Saccharomyces cerevisiae S288C: one gene and its partners. The gene in region 2 interacts genetically with the main gene of each other region. Each region holds a gene or a part of one and is shown on either strand. Other genes may lie near its edges.

What was found. A genetic interaction does not mean that the proteins touch.
Region 1: mutations in RVS167 (region 2) and BNI4 are lethal when combined (synthetic lethality), as found in Saccharomyces cerevisiae (5 studies listed by BioGRID, with this or other methods).
Region 3: mutations in RVS167 (region 2) and CHS3 impair growth when combined (synthetic growth defect), as found in Saccharomyces cerevisiae (5 studies listed by BioGRID, with this or other methods).

The regions. Positions count from the first base shown.
Region 1 is NC_001146.8:210,218-217,311, forward strand, and holds BNI4 (Bni4p), read left to right. Parts: upstream 1-1,704; coding exon 1,705-4,383; downstream 4,384-7,094. Other genes in the region: YNL234W (uncharacterized protein), read left to right, coding at 16-1,296; exosome non-catalytic core subunit CSL4, read left to right, coding at 4,706-5,584; PDR16 (phosphatidylinositol transporter), read right to left, coding at 5,770-6,825.
Region 2 is NC_001136.10:1,247,033-1,254,665, forward strand, and holds RVS167 (amphiphysin), read left to right. Parts: upstream 1-3,153; coding exon 3,154-4,602; downstream 4,603-7,633. Other genes in the region: MUS81 (Mus81p), read left to right, coding at 1-950; CIN10 (Cin10p), read right to left, coding at 1,122-2,789; GTPase-activating protein SAC7, read left to right, coding at 5,505-7,469. UniProt on the Saccharomyces cerevisiae protein: Component of a cytoskeletal structure that is required for the formation of endocytic vesicles at the plasma membrane level.
Region 3 is NC_001134.8:281,717-289,606, reverse strand, and holds CHS3 (chitin synthase CHS3), read left to right. Parts: upstream 1-1,681; coding exon 1,682-5,179; downstream 5,180-7,890. Other genes in the region: putative thioredoxin peroxidase SCO2, read right to left, coding at 1-162; POA1 (ADP-ribose 1''-phosphate phosphatase), read right to left, coding at 5,336-5,869; FUR4 (uracil permease), read right to left, coding at 6,263-7,890. UniProt on the Saccharomyces cerevisiae protein: Polymerizes chitin, a structural polymer of the cell wall and septum, by transferring the sugar moiety of UDP-GlcNAc to the non-reducing end of the growing chitin polymer.

The sequences.
Region 1 (7,094 bases), on a different chromosome or scaffold from region 2:
ATAAGCTGGTTGTGTATGACAGGAGAAAAAATACTTCATTCGCAGTTGTTAACCAACAGCGACATGTCTAGCGGGAATGTCCACCATACGAAACCGATGATGTACAACGTAACCCTGCCTTCCTACAACAGCAGTAGTATAGGTCCAGTCGATAATTTGAAAATAAACGAGAGACCTGGCTCTCATGATCATTCCATGAGAAGTGAAATGTCATCCAAAAACTCCGGAAGCGATTTTATGCCACAATCTATTTCACGTTCCGAAGGTAGTGTCTACCAGGTCAAGATAGATCGTGGTGACTCCCCGAATACAGAAGGATTCGACTTTAAAGTTAATGCAAGAGATCTGCTGTTACTTCGAATGTCCTGGGATATCCTCCTCAGGGAGTATTTAACACCTAAAGAATTAAAAGTTTTTCAAGCACTTCTGTATTCCAATAAACATATTACTTCAACAGAAAGACCCTATTTGAATACTGCTCCTGACGGTATGATTTCCAAAACTATTGACCCTACTGCCAGGCCACGTAAAACAAAACAAAGGGACAATGATAACAAGGTTGATACTGCACTATTTTGTTCACAGTTTTATGACAATTTGATTGCAATGGATCCCTTGTTAGAAGAATATTTTCCATCATTAAAACATCAAGCAGTTTCGTTCTGTAAGGTCCTTGATTCTGCTATTGACAACCTTGAAAACGTTCATGTCCTAGATGATTATATTGTGAAATTAGGAAAACGCCATTCCAGAATTCTCGGCATCAAAACCGTTGGTTTCGAAGTAATGGGAAAAGCATTTATGACTACATTGCAGGACAGGTTTGGATCTTTTCTCACACTGGAACTCAAAAATCTATGGGGACAACTTTACTCATATTTGGCAAATTGTATGATTACTGCAGGGAAGGACCCAATGGAAAAGATTCAACCAGATTTTTCGTATAATGGTGACTCTGTGGTTTTAAATTTTTCCATTCCCAAACTTGCGATGCATGATATAAGTACAGTTAACAAGCTACAAATGGTGAAAACTAAAAACGCTACTATACCTCATAATATAACACAAGTACCGACAAATAAAATTCCTACAGAAATACTCTTAGACAATTCTTCTACTCCAATAAAAAGCGACCGTGAATCGACGCCTCCAATCTCACCAAAGGGCTCTGGAAGTACAAAACCAAGCATCGGTAGCAGTACCGTCGTGGAAAGTAATACCAAGAAAAATAATTATGATGAAAAAATCCATTTATTGCAAAAAACTGCTCAGCAGAAGAACTGCTCGATTATGTAACTACAACCGTACCATTAAGTGTATAAGTTTCCCAGGTTATATTATATATTCTTTAGATCACTGCCTGTTCTTTATTACCCGCGAGCTAATCTTTGTCTTATATAGGCGCGTCAGCGGAGACGCGTCAAGTCAACTTCTCTCTTCTATCGTCCCGAGTATGAAAAATCATTTCAGATTCGAAGAAATCAGATTGGCTTTATATCTTCTTTAGAACAAGACGTGTAATATTCTCACACTTAGAGTTGACCCCCTCAAGTTCGCTTATTAGTACAGGTTTTGACTTTGCAAATAAACAACAGGAAAAGCGACTCAAATAAATTGACAAAGAAATCTCAACAACCAGAGTGCAAAAGCCGTACGAGCAGCGTTTTTATTAATAACGATATATCACTACGTATTCAACAGAATATGTCGGATAGTATTTCAGATTCAAAGTCCTCAGAACTTTTAAATTCTACTTTTTATTCGTCGACGTCGATAAATACACTTGATCATGCTAGAACCTTTCGAAATTCTCTGATATTGAAGGAGATATCAGATCAAAGTCTAAATTCATCAATAAAGCCATGCGAATCCGTCCTTGATAGGGATGTTGAAAGCTCAGTTCTGCAGCGGTCGTTTGGAGAAAGTAATGCCCGAGACTCAGAAGTACAAACGGTAAATATGACAACTTCCCCCTCATTAAGTGCATTGGCTGATATTCTGAACGAAAGATCCAAATATGCTGACCAAAAAACTAGAAAGGCACAAAATATTGAGTCTTCCATAATAGAAGAAGAAGAAGAGGCCGAAGAGCAAAACAACTCGATCAATTATCACGAGGATATAACTGGATCCAGGCTGTCTGTACGAGAGGAAGCAAATGAAAACTTGGCGATGACCTCTCCAAACCTTATTGACATTGACGGATCCAATAGTATTCAAGTTGCCCCTTTGAGTTTACCGTCTTTCGAAGAACCTGACTTTTTGTCCACTCCTAGAGTAAAACCTGATTCTCAGGGACCTCGGAGCAAAGTTAGTACACGACGTACTATTCTCGAACGAGACAACAATTTACCAGTTAAGCGGGAGGAAAATACTATCATTAATTCAGAAACTGAAAGCACAACACATAGCGCACCATTTTTAAAAGAGGATCCGAAACCCTCGCCTCCTTCGAGTAAATTATACAACCCAAAAGTTCGTTTAAACAAAGCAGAAGCGCGAAAGTATACTGATTCTTCTGCCCAAAGGACTACTTCAGCAGGCTCGGTACTTGAAGACACTTCTATGCATAAAAAGAAAAAGAGTATATTTTCATTTCTGAAGAAGAAAGAACCGAAACCAGTTATTGGTAATAATAGTGTAACGAATGAAAAAAATAAGATGTCTTCATCGAGCACTTTCTCAATGAATATTCAAACCTCTTTAAAAACGCCTGAAAAACTAAAGAAGAAGTCTCACAGTAGCAGTAGCATTTTCAATTCCTTCCTAAAGGGAAAAATTGAAACATCAGACTCACCTCGAAAGGAACCAATGAGGCAAAAAAAAAGAACCCCAAAATCCAAGGACAAAAAGCAAGATACTGAACAAATAATTGACGCCGCATCAGTGTTATCCACTGAATCACCTCTACTACGAAAAAACCACGACGATACTCCCGTGAAAATAGATCACGTAACGAGATCAATTGATCAGAGAAAACCTACTCCTTTAAACATGGATCTCATATTGGGAGGTGATAAACAGATAAATACCCCGCTACAAGAACACGTAAGAGAAGATGATGATGCCAAAAATGATCTTCAATTACCAACCAAGGATAATTTTTTATCACTGGACTACGAAGCACCCTCACCAGCATTTTCCAAACACGATACAGGTGAGGTTCTTTTCCCAAAATTTTTGGATAATCATGAAGTCGACTCGATCGTTTCTTTAGAAAGAACAAGATCTACAAAGTCTAACAAGAGAAGTTCAATGAACTCGCAAAGAAGGTCATTGACAGATACGCTATCGATCAAAGCGCAAAGTGAGGGAATGTTCATCACTGAGGCATCTTCTGTTGTATTATCTACTCCAGACTTGACGAAGTCTCCTGCTAGCAGCATTTTAAAGAATGGAAGGTTCGAATACTCAGATAATTTCTCCAGAGAACACTCTTACGAAGGTACCACGAATGAGGACTTTTTAGATATCAAGGACGATAGTGGTCCACTAAAAAAAGATGACATATTTTTAGAGTCTATTGAACAAAAATTTGACCAGCTAGTGATGGCCTCTGATGAAGAAAAAACTGAAGTTGAAAGGGATGTACCAAAACCAAGAGAAGAACCTCTGAAGAAGGATTCTGAAAGGCAAAGCGTTTTTGCAGATGATGATAACGAGTTAATTTCTGATATAATGGAGTTTGCAAGTTTTATTAACTTCGGTGATGATGATCTCAATCTAGACCTAGACTTGGGAGATACAACGGCCTCATATGCAACAGAAACCCCTGAACCTGTTGGAAATGATGAAGTAAATCGCTCTGGTACTTTTGATACACGAAATAACAAAGAGGATAGTTACAAAGAAAGAGAAACTCAATCTTATTCCGCTGCTGGAGCTACTACATACGGAGATGAGCGTCAAGGTCAATTACATACATTTGAACAAGACGGAAGTGAAATAAATGACAACGAATTTGAGAATGAAGATTTCAACAAACACATAGAACAGCCCATAGAAGTTACTCCAAGAAATAATGCATATTTACCAGAATTCGAACCCAATAGACCTGTTTCAATGTCCTTTAAAGGACTAAAAGCCCCAAGAATGAATACTTCTTTTATTGACTCCATGACGCCTGATTCTCCCGTAAAATCAGACTTAACAAGTCTAGGTGAGGTGTATGTAAACAGTAATAATGACCAGGGTGTCCGGTTTTCGTCCCAGATAATACTTTACGACACTTATGGAGAATTCGAATATGATAGACATCCAGAAATTTCCACTTGTAACCAGCTTACTCCACAACTGGCTCAAATGATCAAATTGGAATTAAATGAGTTAAAGAGCGCAATGGAAGTACACGATGATTCGCGATGTTACACACATTTTTATTAGAGCAGAAAACTGGGAGAAATGGAAATGAATCAAATCATACATATCAAGACATTCTAGTTTTTATAAACCTATAATTTATCGCAAGAATCTTGGGTGTTATGTGTTGTATTTGCGGCATCATTTCAAAATACCGTCTGCATTACCCGTCTCCGTCACGTGAAGTAAAAATTTCCAAAAAATATTGAAAAAAGAAAGAAAAATAAGATCCAGAATTCACTGATGATGAGCTTATGGTACGGCATGATTAACTACGCATTTGTATATTAAAGATTCTTTGATTTTTTCCAGAGCATTGAATACCTCAATCTATAAGTGTATTATAATGGCATGCAATTTTCAGTTTCCAGAAATAGCTTATCCAGGTAAACTAATATGCCCACAGTACGGTACGGAAAATAAAGATGGCGAAGATATAATTTTCAATTATGTGCCCGGTCCCGGAACTAAACTAATTCAATATGAACACAACGGACGAACTTTAGAAGCTATAACTGCTACACTAGTTGGGACAGTGAGGTGTGAGGAAGAAAAAAAAACTGATCAGGAAGAAGAGCGTGAAGGCACTGATCAATCTACAGAGGAAGAAAAATCAGTAGATGCATCACCTAATGATGTCACAAGAAGAACTGTAAAAAATATTCTGGTTTCAGTGCTTCCTGGGACAGAAAAGGGTCGTAAAACCAACAAATATGCTAATAATGATTTTGCCAATAACCTACCGAAGGAAGGTGATATTGTGCTGACCAGGGTGACAAGGCTTTCGTTGCAACGAGCCAATGTCGAAATTTTAGCTGTGGAAGATAAACCATCTCCAATTGATAGTGGCATCGGCAGTAATGGATCGGGAATAGTCGCTGCTGGTGGCGGTTCTGGAGCAGCTACGTTCTCTGTTTCTCAAGCATCATCAGATTTAGGTGAGACATTCAGAGGTATAATCAGGTCTCAGGATGTACGGTCTACAGACAGAGATCGTGTGAAAGTGATAGAATGTTTCAAGCCGGGAGATATTGTTAGGGCGCAAGTTTTATCATTAGGTGACGGAACCAACTACTATTTGACCACTGCAAGGAATGACCTTGGGGTCGTGTTCGCCAGAGCTGCTAATGGTGCTGGTGGATTGATGTATGCTACAGACTGGCAAATGATGACTTCACCGGTTACAGGCGCTACAGAAAAGCGCAAATGTGCCAAACCTTTTTGATATGTAACAGCTTATCTACAGTGCATATAGACGCGTATATATTTAAAAGAGGGTATTCGCTTCTTCTTCTTTAGATTGCATTCTTTGATGGTTAGGAAAAAGAAGCGGGAACGTGATTAAACTTTTTATTCTCTTTTATTTATTATATATTATAGTGCATTATCATTATCTATCTAAATTTGCCTTTACACGGTACTGCTTTCCGATTTTACTGGGTAAAGAAGTTTTTCATGAGTACCTCTTAAATCAACCTCACTTAAACCTACAATACCACCGAAGCTTTGAAACCTCTTAAAATAATGATCTCTTTTTTCACGCGCGGTTTCCACCAGAGCTGGCCAATAAACATCATGATTGTACTTGAATTTCAGATCACCACCATACAACGAATCTAGTTCGTTCTTAGGGACATATTTAACAAATGGTTCATCAAAAACTAGCTTTTCACGGGTCAGTGGGTCAATAAAAGGGTGAATTAACTTCAAGAAAGTCCATGCTAACCAAGGAATATTCGTCAAAAGTGCTTTTCCTAGTCTTTCTGGATAATGAGTTTGTAGAATATGCAGCACTTCTTTCCCTACACCAATAGGTGGGATTTTACTATTGCCAGGTACTTTAGGAACATCAGGGTAATCTTTAAAGTCTATTAGCAAAGCTAGAGAGTCTTGACCAGCTGGCATAAAATCGATAACTCTTTCCAACATGAAGACCAAGTGCTGTACCTGTCTGTGAGAAGTCTTTGTATTTTGTCTGCCCGGTTTCAAATATAAGATAGGTCTAGCATCGTTTTCGTAACCCAAAATCACCTGCTTACCTGATTCGTTCTCGACGGCCACCAAGTCAGCAGTTATTTTATCACCATGCTCTTCACCTAAATGACTAATACCGAATTCTCTTCTCCACGCTAGAGTCATGGTGATTCTATCGATACAGTCTTTTAGCACCCATTTAGTAGCCCTTAGGTAACGTAAAAAACATTCTCTTGTCAACCATGCCTTTTCTTCTTCCTCTAAGGGTTTAAGATCATCCTCCGACTTATTTTTTTCACTTGTATAAACCTTCAAGTCAGGGTTACTGAAATGTTTTAGCACTTCGTCATACATTTTTTGTTGCTCACCTGTAAGTGGTTTTTCTTTTGGAATAGCTATCGAAGCAGGAAGTTCTTTGATAGGCTTATCAATATTAATCAAATTTTTTGGGTCTTCTGGAGCCTCCTTCTTTTTGCTAAATCTCTTGAACATTTTTTGCTTTTGTAATTTTTTTTATATAAAGTGGTTTTGTATTATTTGTTGGATGGAGAGAAGGGAACAGTTAGAAACAAAATAAGGATTGAAATATTTTTCTAACGAAGAAGTGGTATTAGTCTATCTAGAACTGATATATATACATACATATATATATATAAATATATATATATTCAGACAATGAGCACAATATTGTGCATGTACAAGAGTGGGATGCGCATATAGTGCATGAACCTATTGCGATAAAGATCTGGCAATATATAGAG
Region 2 (7,633 bases):
AAACAGTACCTGATTCCGCATTAAAGGCTAAAAGCACAATAAAGAGGAGAAGGTACAACGGAGTAAGTTACGAATTGTGGTGTAGTGGTGATTTCGAAGTTTTCCCAATTATTGATCACAGAGAAATAAAGTCACAATCTGATCGTGAGTTTTTTTCAAGGGCATTTGAAAGAAAAGGTATGAAGTCAGAGATAAGGCAACTCGCTTTGGGTGATATTATATGGGTTGCCAAGAATAAAAATACCGGGTTGCAGTGTGTGCTCAACACCATAGTTGAAAGAAAAAGGCTAGACGATTTAGCTTTAAGTATAAGGGATAACAGGTTTATGGAGCAAAAAAATAGGTTAGAGAAATCTGGCTGTGAACACAAATACTATCTCATTGAGGAGACTATGAGTGGCAACATTGGAAATATGAATGAGGCCCTAAAGACCGCGCTTTGGGTCATTTTAGTGTATTACAAATTCTCCATGATAAGAACTTGCAATTCGGATGAAACTGTGGAAAAGATACATGCGTTGCATACTGTAATTTCTCATCACTATTCTCAAAAAGATCTCATAGTTATATTTCCAAGTGACCTTAAAAGCAAGGACGATTATAAAAAGGTGCTTCTACAGTTTCGTCGAGAATTCGAACGAAAAGGCGGTATTGAATGCTGTCATAATCTTGAATGCTTTCAAGAACTAATGGGAAAAGGCGATCTAAAGACGGTTGGTGAGCTAACTATACATGTTTTAATGCTTGTTAAAGGTATATCTTTAGAAAAAGCAGTAGCCATCCAAGAAATATTTCCTACCCTGAATAAAATACTAATGGCATATAAAACGTGCTCCTCGGAAGAAGAGGCTAAATTGTTGATGTTTAATGTACTGGGAGATGCACCTGGTGCGAAGAAAATTACTAAATCTCTTTCAGAAAAGATATATGATGCTTTTGGTAAACTTTAGCAATTTGAAATATAGTCATCCCTGCAAGGTTTTATAAAGAAAAAAGTGATGATATTCTTTTAACTAATATATACATATATAAGAAAAGAAGCCTTAATTTCTCACGGACAAATATACCAGAAGCATATCTGAAAGCCGCCCCAATGCATTATGATGCCACTTGACAACTCATCAATGGTAGGTACGAAAGACATAATGAACATCAATTCCATTATCAAAAACCCTTCCAACCTCTTCCAGTGACAAACCTTTGACTTCTGGATACCAAAAATATACGAAAAACCAGGCACAAACTGTGAAAAAAGCAAAAATGAGCATTGTATTTTCATCACCAATGGTGTTAATAGTGCTCAGATATGTCATTGAAACAAATGCATTGGTCAACCAATTTGTGCAGGCTATACATGATGCCCCAAATGATCTCCTGTTCAAGGGGAGAAATTCCACACAGGTCCATGGAACGCTGCCCATCGCAGAAGCATATGCTGCAACATAAATTACAACAGAAATTAAAAGTAAATTGACTTGGTCATGACCGAAACCTACACTGCAAAGAAGTAACCCAACAGTCATAATCAAAATTGTTCTCAAAAGAATGGCTCTTCTTCCCAAAGAGTCCATGGTGTACATGGCGAAAAAAGTGAATATGAAGTTCGTTGAGGCAATCAAAATTGGAGGCAGTAGAGGGTTTTTTATATTAAATTTGGAAAATATTATTGCCGCATAGTACATAAAAGCATTAAAGCCAGTGATTTGCTGGAAAAACATTAACATGCAACCTACTATTAACGCTCTTATTGTGCGTGGCTCCATTCTGTGTCTTTTCTTTTTGTTAGATGCCAGGGCACCGTTTGGAGCTGGGCCTCGCAACGCCGATAGATATGCTGATGAGGAGGACATTGTGTTGCTAGTTCTTTCTGTGTTCGAGGAAAGTCTTTTAATGTTAGGTGGGCTAAGAGTTCCTGAGGTTGAACTATCCATGTATCGAATAACCGATTGGGACTGTACTAGTAAAGGTTCACTTGCATCTTCGTATAGTCGTAACTTATCGAGTTCAATTATCAGCTGCTTAATTTTACTATTCACATGATATGTAGATGCAGTAGGATATAGCATTCTTAGAGAATCCCTGGTATATAGAATGTCTCCCTTGGAAATGGACCATCGTGGCGATTCAGGGATAAAATCCAGTATTGAAAGGAACAGAATAGCTGGAATAGCAGAAAGTGCGAACAAATATCTCCATGAATTATCAATCTCTTTCATAAGGGACGCAATCACATAGGAAACCAATTGACCTCCAGTGATGGCAATAATGTTCAATGTCAACATAAAACCCCTGATTCTGGAAGGTGAAATTTCACTCAGAAATAGAGGGACGCACTGGGCAGACACTCCAACAGCGATCCCAACCAGCAATCTCCCACAAATCAAAAACGTCAATGTTCTTGCTATAGCCATTCCAATTGCAGCTAGGATAAAAATTGAACAGCAGATTGCGAGAGTAATTCTTCTTCCATACCTATCTGCTAAAGGAAATGCCAGAATAGAGCCAAAAAATGATCCGACGCTTGTACTGGAAGTTATCAGCTCCTTCTGAACATCCGTTAAAACTACCAAAGATAGATCTTCGGGCTTTAAAGAAAGCAGAACACCTGATATAACACCAGTATCATAGCCGAATAAAAGCCCACCAATGGTAGCACCAACGAAGATTAACGACGTTTTGAACGTTAAAGCATATGGGAGTTGCTCGATGTCATTGGCAGTATTGGATGTTACCTGGGAGATAATGGAATACAGATCAGAATAAACGTCTTCACTTTCATCTGTAGACATACCTCTATCAAGTTTTGACTTTCCTGTCGCTTGCCTGTACGCTTTTGTTTTCTACTGAGAAAAGATACTTTTTGACCATGGACTATAAGTGCACGCTACAGTTGCACATATAAGGTTGTATATAGTTCAAGAAGTTCCTTTCGTATGGAAATTTTGTTATGTATACCTTCCAGTTGCTATGGTAGTCTACCTGACTAAATTATCAATCCGACCGATGTTCGGATGTTGCGATAATATTGGTACCGGAAAAAAAAAAGGAGAGGGCTTTGTAGTGTCGATGTTTAACAACCTGTTTTAAGGAATAAAGTAAAGTGAGGCTCACCTGGTCATTTAACACCAAGAATCAAGGAGCCAATAAGTGCACATGAGTTTTAAAGGGTTTACCAAGGCTGTTAGTAGGGCTCCTCAGTCCTTCCGTCAAAAGTTCAAGATGGGTGAGCAGACAGAGGATCCTGTTTACGAGGATGCAGAACGTCGTTTTCAAGAATTGGAGCAGGAGACAAAAAAATTAAGTGAGGAATCGAAGAGATACTCGACTGCGGTGAATGGAATGCTGACACACCAAATTGGATTTGCCAAATCCATGGAGGAAATTTTCAAACCTATCAGTGGTAAAATGAGTGACCCTAACGCTACCATACCAGAGGACAACCCACAAGGTATTGAAGCAAGTGAACAGTATAGGGCAATTGTCGCAGAATTACAGGAAACATTGAAACCGGATCTGGCTTTGGTGGAAGAAAAAATTGTTACGCCATGCCAGGAACTGTTGAAGATTATTACTTATATTCGTAAAATGGCCACCAAGAGAAATCACAAAAAATTAGATTTAGATAGACATCTAAACACTTATAACAAGCATGAAAAGAAGAAGGAACCAACCGCCAAAGACGAAGAAAGATTGTATAAAGCACAAGCTCAAGTGGAAGTGGCTCAACAAGAATATGATTACTATAACGACTTGCTAAAGACTCAATTACCAATACTGTTCAGTTTGGAAGCTGAATTTGTGAAACCATTATTTGTCTCATTTTATTTCATGCAATTGAACATTTTTTACACTTTGTATAATAGACTTCAAGACATGAAGATTCCATATTTTGATTTGAACAGTGACATTGTAGAGTCGTACATTGCCAAGAAAGGCAATGTGGAAGAACAAACGGACGCCTTGACTATTACACACTTTAAACTCGGTTACTCTAAGGCAAAATTGGAGATGACCAGAAGGAAGTATGGTGTAGCAACCGCCGAAGGCTCACCCGTCAGTGGCGCATCAAGCGGTGTCGGATATGGTGCTGGGTATGATCCAGCAACTGCCACTTCTCCAACCCCTACAGGATACGGTTATGGTGCCGCAGCACCAAGTTACGCCGCTCAACCTGCTGCCCAGTATGGTACTGCTGCCGCCGTTGGTACTGCTGCTGCTGTTGGTACTGCTGCTGGTGCTGCTGCTGGCGCTGTTCCGGGTACTTATCCACAGTATGCTGCTGCGCAATCTCCACCGCTCACTGGGCTAGGCTTCCAACAATCACCACAGCAGCAACAGGGACCACCACCGGCCTACTCTAATCCTCTAACATCACCTGTTGCGGGCACACCAGCCGCGGCCGTAGCGGCAGCTCCTGGCGTTGAAACTGTTACCGCATTGTATGACTACCAAGCTCAAGCTGCTGGTGATTTGTCTTTCCCTGCCGGCGCAGTTATAGAAATTGTCCAGCGTACTCCGGACGTGAACGAATGGTGGACAGGAAGATACAATGGCCAGCAAGGTGTGTTTCCTGGGAACTACGTGCAACTCAACAAGAACTAGAGGAGGCCCCTGCATCCCTCTGTATTCATTACCTTCTATTGTGAGATGTTACCATTACCTTTTTCTTTTATTGTAATGTTTCTTAATTTAAATACTATATAGGGTAATTCATCCTTCCACCAACAAAGTATCGTTTGAGTCTATCTATTACGGGCATGCGGCGAGCATATTACCCTACTGACAATATCCCAAAAGGGAAGGAGCGCGTTCCCAATAGGGCTGCCACCTTCCCAATATGGTACAAAGCCTACCATATGGGGAAATCAGTTTTCTCGCTCACCTCGCCTAGTCTTCCTAAAACGACGTTCCTCAGTCTCCTTTCTCTTTTATAAAACACCATCTCTGTCTTGTCGATGACACAGCCCAGTTGGGAAACCGGTGCTGACAAACAGGAAAAAAGCAAGACTAGTGGCCTGGCGCGGAAGAAACTGAGCTACATTGCACAACATCTTCAAGCAGGGTGTACGCATTCATTACTTTAATACTAAATTTAGAAGAAATCATCCTTTTTACTCGCGAAACTGTTAGGCTTGATCGGACGATCTCAGAAGAGGAAAAACAAATTGATAAAGTCTTCGTTAGGTTTCCTAGAATAGCAGGCCCGTTACAAAAAATTTTTTTACCCATTCCACTGGTTTTATTCACTAGTGACTTGAAAACTCCACATATTTTTGATCTCTTAAGCTTTCACGCATCACAAAGTTATCAGAACAAATTTTCTCCAGAAAGTTATATTGCAGTGTTCAAAAAGCCGTTCTCATTTCACAGCAATTTTTTTCTAAAGTAGAGGGGCAGAGAAATTAGCCTTCACAAGTTTGCTTTCGAGCTTCCAATTTGATTCCTGCTTTGGTCTTACTTTCATCCTCTCAATACCACTAAGATAAACTAAAAATATCTTTATAATGCCAAATAATACTCTTAAACAAGGCTCCAAAATTGAAAATGTTTCTCCCTCTAAAGGTCATGTCCCAAGTTTTTGGAAGCAGTTCATAAACAACCCTAAGAGTATGTCATCCGAAAATATTACAGTCCCTAGATCACCAACTTCTCTTTCAAGGAATGCTCAACCAACTACTTTAAAACGGCCTCCATTATCTTCAAGACCATATTCATATAATACCCCAACCAAAGATAGGAAATCCTTTTCCAAATCCGCGAAACAGAACAATAACAATAACAACGCTAATTCCGGAACATCGCCTCACGCAGAGTTCAAAAATTACAGAGATATGTTTTTATCTAATAGAAATGGTTTCACAGGTAGGGTTTTCGGTGTTACTTTAGCAGAATCGTTGAGCGTCGCCAGTGCAGAGGTCATTGTTCAAAGTGAGTTGGTGAGTTTTGGTCGGATACCCATCGTGGTAGCCAAGTGCGGCGCATACTTAAAAGCAAATGGATTGGAGACCTCGGGTATATTTCGTATAGCGGGCAATGGTAAAAGAGTAAAAGCCCTTCAATACATATTCTCGTCGCCACCTGATTATGGTACCAAATTCAACGATTGGGAAACATATACAGTGCACGATGTTGCATCGCTCCTGAGGAGATACCTTAATAATTTGGCCGAACCACTAATACCTTTATCCCTATATGAACAATTCAGAAACCCGCTACGATCTAGACCAAGAATCCTAAGGCATATGTTGACCCACGAAGTTTCTCATCCGAATGCGAATAAAACAAATAATGTAACAGTAAAATCAAGTAGACAGAACTATAATGATGATGGTGCTAATGATGGTGACATCGAAAAGGAGGACGCTAAAGATGATGAAGAAAAAAGACGAAGAAAAATACGTCATAAGAGAAGGCTGACCCGCGATATAAGGGCAGCTATCAAGGAATATGAAGAGCTCTTTGTTACCTTATCAAATGACACGAAACAGCTAACTATATACCTACTCGATTTACTGAGTCTTTTTGCAAGGCAATCACAGTTTAACCTAATGTCTGGTAGAAACTTGGCGGCCATCTTCCAACCTTCAATATTATCGCATCCTCAACATGATATGGACCCCAAAGAATACGAGTTATCCCGACTAGTAGTGGAATTTTTGATTGAATACTCGTACAAGCTATTACCCCATCTTTTGAAGTTGGCTAAAAGGGAACAACAGGAACGGTTGTCAACCGAAAATAAGAAAAATAATGGAGATAAACAGAAAACTGATCCTATAGAAATACCAAAGATCACCTCATCGGATTCGCCACCAATAGTTTCTTCCAATAAAAACCCACCGGCGATTGACAATAACAATAAACTAGACCATACGACGTTATCGCCAATATCTACTTCGATACCGGAGAACTCATCAGACCTACAGACTTCAAAAATGTTAAAGCCTCCGAAGCAAAGAAGACCACACTCAAAATCGTTTGGTTCTACTCCGGTTCCTCCGGATGTTATTGCTAGTAATAAAAGAAGAACGAGTTTATTCCCGTGGTTACATAAACCGGGAATTTTGAGTGACACAGGAGACAATGGCGACTTAACTGCTACTGAAGCTGAAGGTGATGATTATGAAGAAGAAAATGTTGATCCATACGGTCAGTCTCCATCTAGCGTACACTCAGGTTCTTTGCCCAAACAGCATTATCTGCCAATTCCTCGAATGAACAGATCGTTGAGTGGAAACAGTACCAATTCGTCCTTTAACACTAGACCTATTTCAATGATCCTGACCAGTGGTAATGATAATTCCGCTGATCAATTAGAATTACTAAGTAACACTCATAGCAATAATGAGCGCAGTAATGCTTTACCATTAACCGAAGATGATGGGGATGAAAGAAATTCAAGATCACGCAAGAGGGAATCATGGTTTCAAAGACTAACAAGCCGTTCAGGCTCTGCTAACAGGGCTTGATAACACCATTTTTCTTTCCTTTTAATTTCCTCATTTTTTTTTTTTTCGTTATTTCCCTTAAAAACCTGTTGGCGGTTTTCTTTCTTTTTCTTTGCCTTCTGTATAAATAACAAATAAACATCATTCCCCTTTCAAGATTTATAACCATAAAGGGAACATATATA
Region 3 (7,890 bases), on a different chromosome or scaffold from region 2:
TGGTTGTCTTGCACTTGGGCTTTCCTTGTTATCACTCCTCAAACAACATCCCGTTGAAAACCCTCTTCGATATGCGCCTCCATTATAAAAGAGTCCTTTTATTGAGACGTTCGCTTGTCTGAATAGGGAACGACAAGCATATTTTCTTGAACTATTCAACATTTTACTCTCGCTTCCCAAATTCCCCTTTCTATGGTGATATTATAAAAGATCCTGTAAGCTGCTGTTTTACGAAGGTATTGTAGACGATCCGTAGCCCTCTTTAGCAATTGTTTGACTACTATCGATGGGACTTCTCGAAATTCATACTTTGTTAGGTTTTCTTTTTTATCCCTAAAAAGAGCGAAAGGATCAAGCAGAAAATTAAAACAATAGGCTACATCATCGAAGTTTCAAAGACCGGCATATCCGTCCATTTTTGAAAACACCCCACCCAAAATTGTAACTATCGACAGATTCTATGATAGCTACCCCGGGATGAAGGGCAGTCTTCTATAACTTGGGGCGGCAAGCAAACCAACCGTCATAGTTAATAAACCACACGTTGGTTATTTAGATTTCTCGTCCTGCTTTTCTGTCGCCAATAGGGCAACCTTAGAAAAGGTTTGAGGATAGTGACTACATGCAATCAAGGTAAAAGCGTTATCGAATAAGTAACAAGCATTCCGTGCTAAATTGACGAGAATTGGCAAGATGCGTCAGCACTATTTGGAGCAAACACACCAACTGGATGTCTTAAAAGTCAATTCAACGACCAATTTATGTAACCAGCGTGACTAGGGCAACGAATTTACGTCTTTTTTCTAAACTGCATATGCTATGAAATTAAAGATATACTGCCTCTATAAAAACATTTATATTTTCCCTCCTTTGCAATGGAAATGAAAACGGCGGTAAAAAAATTCGTGAGAATAAAGAGACGAGTACAAAAGTTCAATTAAAAACGCCAGGAACTGTTCTTTATCTTATTCTCTCCGTACGCTGTGTCACAAAGCTCTTGTATTGTGTCTCGCTTTCTTTTTCCAGATCTATGAAACCAGAATCACACCGCAGCAGCGACGGCTGTACCGTATTTAAGAGAATCCGCATGGGAAAAGATTACAAATTACCCTAGACAAATTTATAGAAGCGGTGCTTGTGAGATTTACTCACATTCTAGGATTCGAGAACTAAGCATTGTAGTTCTTATTTACATCCTTGAACAAATACCTGCCTATCTCCGCACGTACTACGTAGCCACAAATGTATATATAATCGTGCGTTGTATTTGCGCCCTCACCCACATATTTGACATGTGCATGAGACTGGATATTTCTTGAAGCATATTCAATAGCGTCGATGGACAGTTAGCCCGCAGTTGTATTGCATTCAGCACCTGCATAGGTGACCCTCTTTGGCTGCCTATTTGGATAAAACGCGTTATTGGCGCTGGCGCAGACCTCGAAAAAAAAAATCAAAAATGAAAATAAGAGCATAAAAATAGAAATCAAAAATATTCTTTCCTGTGTTTCAGATTTACATTCAGTACCAACATTTCGACTTGTAGTAAATCCTGCTAGAAGAATCACATTGGTAGACGGTTATAAACGTTTACCGATTTGCAAAGTTCTCGAGTATTTTTGGTGTAGGTCCCATTTTCTTCAAAGGTCCTGTTTAGACTATCCGCAGGAAAGAAATTAGAATGACCGGCTTGAATGGAGATGATCCTGATGACTACTATCTGAACCTTAATCAAGATGAAGAGTCTCTACTTAGGTCAAGACACAGTGTCGGCTCAGGAGCACCTCATAGACAAGGCTCTTTAGTGCGGCCCGAAAGAAGCCGACTGAACAATCCTGATAATCCACATTTTTATTATGCGCAGAAAACGCAGGAGCAGATGAATCACCTGGATGTTTTACCATCAAGTACCGGTGTAAACCCAAATGCAACTCGTCGGAGTGGCTCCCTGCGCTCCAAAGGCTCAGTGAGAAGCAAATTTAGTGGCCGCGAAACGGATAGCTATCTTTTACAAGATATGAATACTACTGACAAGAAGGCTTCCGTTAAAATAAGTGATGAAGGTGTTGCGGAAGACGAATTTGATAAAGATGGTGATGTGGACAATTTCGAAGAAAGCTCCACGCAGCCCATAAATAAGTCTATCAAACCATTAAGAAAGGAAACGAATGATACATTGTCATTTTGGCAGATGTACTGTTATTTCATTACGTTTTGGGCACCTGCTCCAATTCTTGCTTTCTGCGGGATGCCAAAGAAGGAAAGACAAATGGCGTGGAGAGAAAAGGTTGCTTTAATTTCTGTCATCTTGTACATTGGTGCGATTGTGGCTTTCCTGACTTTTGGTTTCACTAAAACCGTTTGTAGTAGTTCGAAACTACGTTTGAAAAACAACGAAGTATCAACAGAATTTGTCGTAATTAACGGTAAGGCTTATGAATTGGATACTTCCTCGCGTTCCGGTATACAAGACGTTGAAGTAGATTCAGACACCCTTTATGGGCCCTGGTCAGATGCTGGTAAAGATGCTTCGTTCTTGTTTCAAAATGTGAATGGTAACTGTCATAACCTTATAACTCCAAAGAGTAATTCTTCCATTCCCCATGACGATGATAATAATTTAGCATGGTATTTTCCTTGTAAGTTAAAGAATCAAGATGGCTCTTCGAAGCCAAACTTCACAGTTGAAAATTACGCAGGATGGAACTGTCATACGTCTAAAGAAGATAGGGACGCATTTTACGGTTTAAAGTCGAAAGCTGATGTTTACTTCACTTGGGATGGTATAAAGAACTCTTCTAGAAACTTGATTGTTTATAATGGCGACGTTTTGGATTTAGATCTTCTTGATTGGTTGGAAAAGGATGACGTTGACTATCCCGTTGTATTCGATGACTTGAAGACTTCAAATTTACAAGGTTATGATCTTTCGTTGGTTTTGTCAAATGGGCATGAAAGAAAAATTGCGAGATGTTTGAGCGAAATTATTAAAGTTGGTGAAGTAGACTCCAAAACCGTCGGTTGTATTGCCTCTGATGTCGTTTTGTATGTTTCTCTGGTATTTATTCTTTCAGTGGTGATAATTAAATTCATAATTGCCTGCTACTTCCGTTGGACTGTAGCTAGGAAACAAGGTGCATATATCGTGGACAATAAAACAATGGATAAACACACAAACGATATCGAGGATTGGTCTAATAATATTCAAACAAAAGCTCCTCTAAAGGAAGTAGATCCTCATTTGAGGCCAAAGAAATACTCAAAAAAGTCGTTGGGACACAAGCGTGCTTCAACCTTTGACTTGCTGAAAAAACACAGCTCCAAAATGTTTCAATTTAACGAATCTGTGATAGATCTAGACACCTCCATGAGCAGTTCACTACAATCTTCTGGTTCATACAGAGGAATGACAACAATGACCACTCAAAATGCTTGGAAACTCTCGAATGAAAACAAAGCTGTACATTCCCGTAATCCATCTACTTTGTTGCCTACATCCTCGATGTTTTGGAATAAAGCGACTTCCTCTCCTGTACCAGGATCATCGCTGATTCAGAGTCTTGATTCGACGATTATACATCCCGATATCGTTCAACAACCACCACTGGATTTTATGCCATACGGGTTCCCATTGATTCATACTATCTGTTTTGTTACTTGTTATTCTGAGGATGAAGAGGGTTTAAGAACCACTTTAGACTCTCTTTCTACCACAGATTATCCAAATTCCCATAAACTACTGATGGTTGTTTGTGATGGTTTAATTAAGGGCTCGGGCAACGATAAGACTACTCCAGAGATAGCGTTAGGAATGATGGACGACTTTGTCACCCCACCTGATGAAGTTAAACCTTACTCCTATGTGGCAGTGGCATCAGGCTCTAAAAGACACAATATGGCCAAGATATATGCGGGTTTTTACAAATATGACGATTCTACAATTCCACCAGAAAATCAACAACGTGTCCCAATCATTACAATTGTGAAGTGCGGTACTCCTGCAGAGCAGGGGGCCGCCAAACCCGGTAACAGAGGTAAGCGTGATTCTCAAATTATTCTGATGTCCTTTTTAGAAAAAATAACATTTGATGAAAGAATGACTCAATTGGAATTTCAGCTTTTAAAAAATATTTGGCAGATTACGGGGCTAATGGCAGACTTCTACGAAACGGTACTTATGGTTGATGCTGATACTAAAGTCTTTCCCGATGCTTTAACTCATATGGTCGCTGAAATGGTTAAAGATCCTTTGATTATGGGTCTTTGTGGTGAGACCAAGATCGCTAATAAGGCACAATCTTGGGTAACTGCAATTCAAGTGTTTGAGTACTATATTTCGCATCATCAGGCTAAAGCTTTTGAATCTGTCTTCGGTTCGGTAACTTGTTTGCCGGGATGTTTCTCAATGTATCGTATAAAATCTCCTAAAGGTTCAGATGGTTATTGGGTACCTGTATTGGCAAATCCAGATATTGTTGAAAGATATTCGGATAATGTTACAAACACTTTGCATAAGAAGAACTTATTATTACTTGGTGAAGATAGATTTTTATCTTCATTAATGTTAAAGACTTTCCCTAAGAGAAAGCAAGTATTTGTTCCAAAAGCTGCTTGTAAAACTATTGCCCCTGATAAATTCAAAGTCTTACTTTCCCAGCGTCGAAGATGGATTAATTCTACGGTACATAACCTTTTTGAATTAGTTCTAATCAGAGACTTATGTGGCACTTTCTGTTTTTCCATGCAATTTGTGATTGGTATTGAATTGATTGGTACTATGGTACTGCCGTTAGCCATTTGCTTTACTATTTATGTCATTATTTTTGCCATTGTATCAAAACCTACACCCGTAATCACTTTAGTTTTACTGGCAATTATTCTTGGTCTGCCCGGCTTAATTGTTGTTATAACTGCTACGAGATGGTCGTACCTATGGTGGATGTGCGTATATATTTGTGCTTTGCCTATTTGGAATTTCGTACTACCTTCATATGCGTACTGGAAATTTGATGACTTCTCATGGGGTGATACGAGAACTATTGCGGGAGGTAATAAAAAGGCACAAGACGAGAATGAAGGTGAATTTGATCACTCAAAGATTAAAATGAGGACATGGAGGGAATTTGAAAGGGAAGATATTCTCAATCGGAAGGAGGAAAGTGACTCCTTCGTTGCATAGACAGTATGAAAATATTTTTACTGTGATACTTACAAGTTGATATATGGTTGTGTGTAACTTATTTATTTGAGAGGTATTTTAACACACCTTAGAACTAAAACTTAATAAATAAATATTTCTCTATCTTTAAAGGCACATATTACGTGGCTAAGGCAATTACAGCTGATATACTGTAAAACTCATGTCGCCACTAAATTCTTCTAACACGCGTTCTGTCTCTTTCCAAGGGACTCCGAATATGCCACTATTTATCTGTGGCATTTCCAATTTATATTCCCCTATTGGGTATTTGATGTGGCCGTTTAAATAGTCACCGATTGAATCTTCACTTGTTCGAGTTTTGTCTTTTGCTTCTCTAAAGGTCTTCAATTTATCTAAAGCAAGTTTTGTATAATTCAAAATACTTTGCTTTTCTCCATGACTTGAACCTCCAAATGATGATGTAAACAAGCAACAAATCAGCAGATCTGAGTTTTCGTAACTGGGAAGTAATATGCATTTGCCTAGTAAATTAGAACCATACTTTTCGCATACTTCAACGTAATCTTTCTCTGCTTTTGGGTAGCGCAAAGCAAGTTGATAAGCGATCCCACCACCCCACGAGCCATTGCAGTTGCAAGAATGGATGAGGATCCTAGCATATGACTTTGGTTTTAAGATGTTACCTTTGACATAAGTGATGTTCGACATACCTGTAACTTGATGCTATATTTATCTTGGAGAAGATACTAATAAACTCAAACTTTTCGTGTAGAAATCTGGGCTTCAAGTTCGCATAGCATAACGAATCGTAAAGTTATGCATATGGCATAATACAACAATTATCCATTTTTTCTCGTGTGTAAAAAGAGAAAGGAGAGAGGAAAGAACGCTAAGCCATAAAGCAAACAAAAAATCGAATGAAAGTGAGTGAATATATTAAAACCAGTGAAATTAATGCTCATTGAAGGCCAAATGCACAAAGTAAATGCTAAAGAGAACGTAAATAGAAGTAAGTAGTATAGATAAGGATTAATATCATTACACATGAAAATTTGAAAAATATTTCAGATTAATGCAGAAAGTGATGTAGATATGGAGAGCTTAAATGAAAGTCTTTTCGTGTTCGTGTTCGTAGACACTAATATTGTCATCTACCAGGTCATCCCTCTCAATTGTGTCTTTCCACTCTTCTTCAAAATCATCGACATTGGCCCATCTTTGGAACCAGCCCTTGTCCTTTATAATGTTGTTAACAGGGCACCCAGGTACAGGGAAGAAGTAACACAGAGCAGTATAAGAAGAAAAACTCAAGCCATATCCTACCCAGTAACTTAGGTAATATAGTTTCATAGCTCCATCAGAAACCTTTATAGCGGGAGCGCCCACCTCCGCGATGAAACCGGGCAAGCAAGGAGCCACCCCACATAGATATGCAGCCAAAGCTCTCCAATTGATACCAAACCTGTTTCCGTACATATAAAAAGAGCCCTTTTGATGGGAATATATGTGTGTTAGCTTGATATATCCTCTTCTAACAACAAAGTAATCTGAGCAGACAACACCGGCAATACTGGACAAAAAGATAGCATATGCGGACAAAGCCATTGTAAATTTACTTGATGTTGCCATTAAATTCCATGGACAAATACACAGCGCCATGGCTGCACAAAATAATGAACCACGCTTGATATTGATAAACTTGGGGAAAATAGCGGACATATCAGTTCCACACGATAATGAGTTTGCAGAAATATTAGTACCTAACTGAGCTACGGCGAAAACAAAAGAGATTAAGAAAACACCAGCTCTTGTGCCCTTATTATAAGTAGTCTGTAAAAATTTTTCTAGCACATCGAGTGGCGACCAGTAATTAATACCGTATATTTCATAACCAGCTGCGGTGACTAGAATTCCAATTAAACAAGTGATGGAAAACAAAAATGGAATGCACACTAATTGGGACCATAAAGCGGAGTTAGGGTTTTTTGAAAATCTAGAGAAATCTGGAGCGTTGATTACCATTGTGGAGAAATTAGCCATACAACCCATTAGTGATCTTAGAAAAGCCCACGAAAAGGCAGAGCCATGAGGTTGTACATCGGTTAAAGATCCTAAGGCAATACGCCCGTGAGCTCTTCTGATAGCCCAAATTAAGAAACCAAAAGAAGCAAACGGAACCAAGACGGCTTTAACAGTAAACAGGTGTCTAATTTTGTGAGGTGGAACCAGTAAAAATGGAAGACTGGCAGCCCAAAAGATAAAAAAACACATGAACTCGTAAGTAGTAGCATTCGGTGATCCAAAGTGATCTGGGATTTTGTCTTGTAAATCTTTTCCAAAGATAGATTTCAGCATTAATGATACGGGAGTTGCCGCAATATAAGCTTGGACACTATACCAAACGATGGCCATGACGACTCTGTTAATAACGGGCCATAAAGAGAAGAAAATACCGAATGATGCTCTAGATGATATAGGGAATGACAAATGATAAGCAGATCCAACTCTAGAGGCCAAAACAACAAAAGCACCAACGAAACCGTACCCAATCCAAATTGTTATCCAACACTGCCACCAATTTAGACCCAGTTGTAGACCTGTAGCTGCAATTTGCCAAGTGTTGATATTGAAACATTCAGCAAGCCAGAAGTAACAATAATTGTACCAGGACCAAACCCGCCTTTCTTTTTCGACGGGCTTCAAGTCCTGGTTGTACATAAATGAATCCA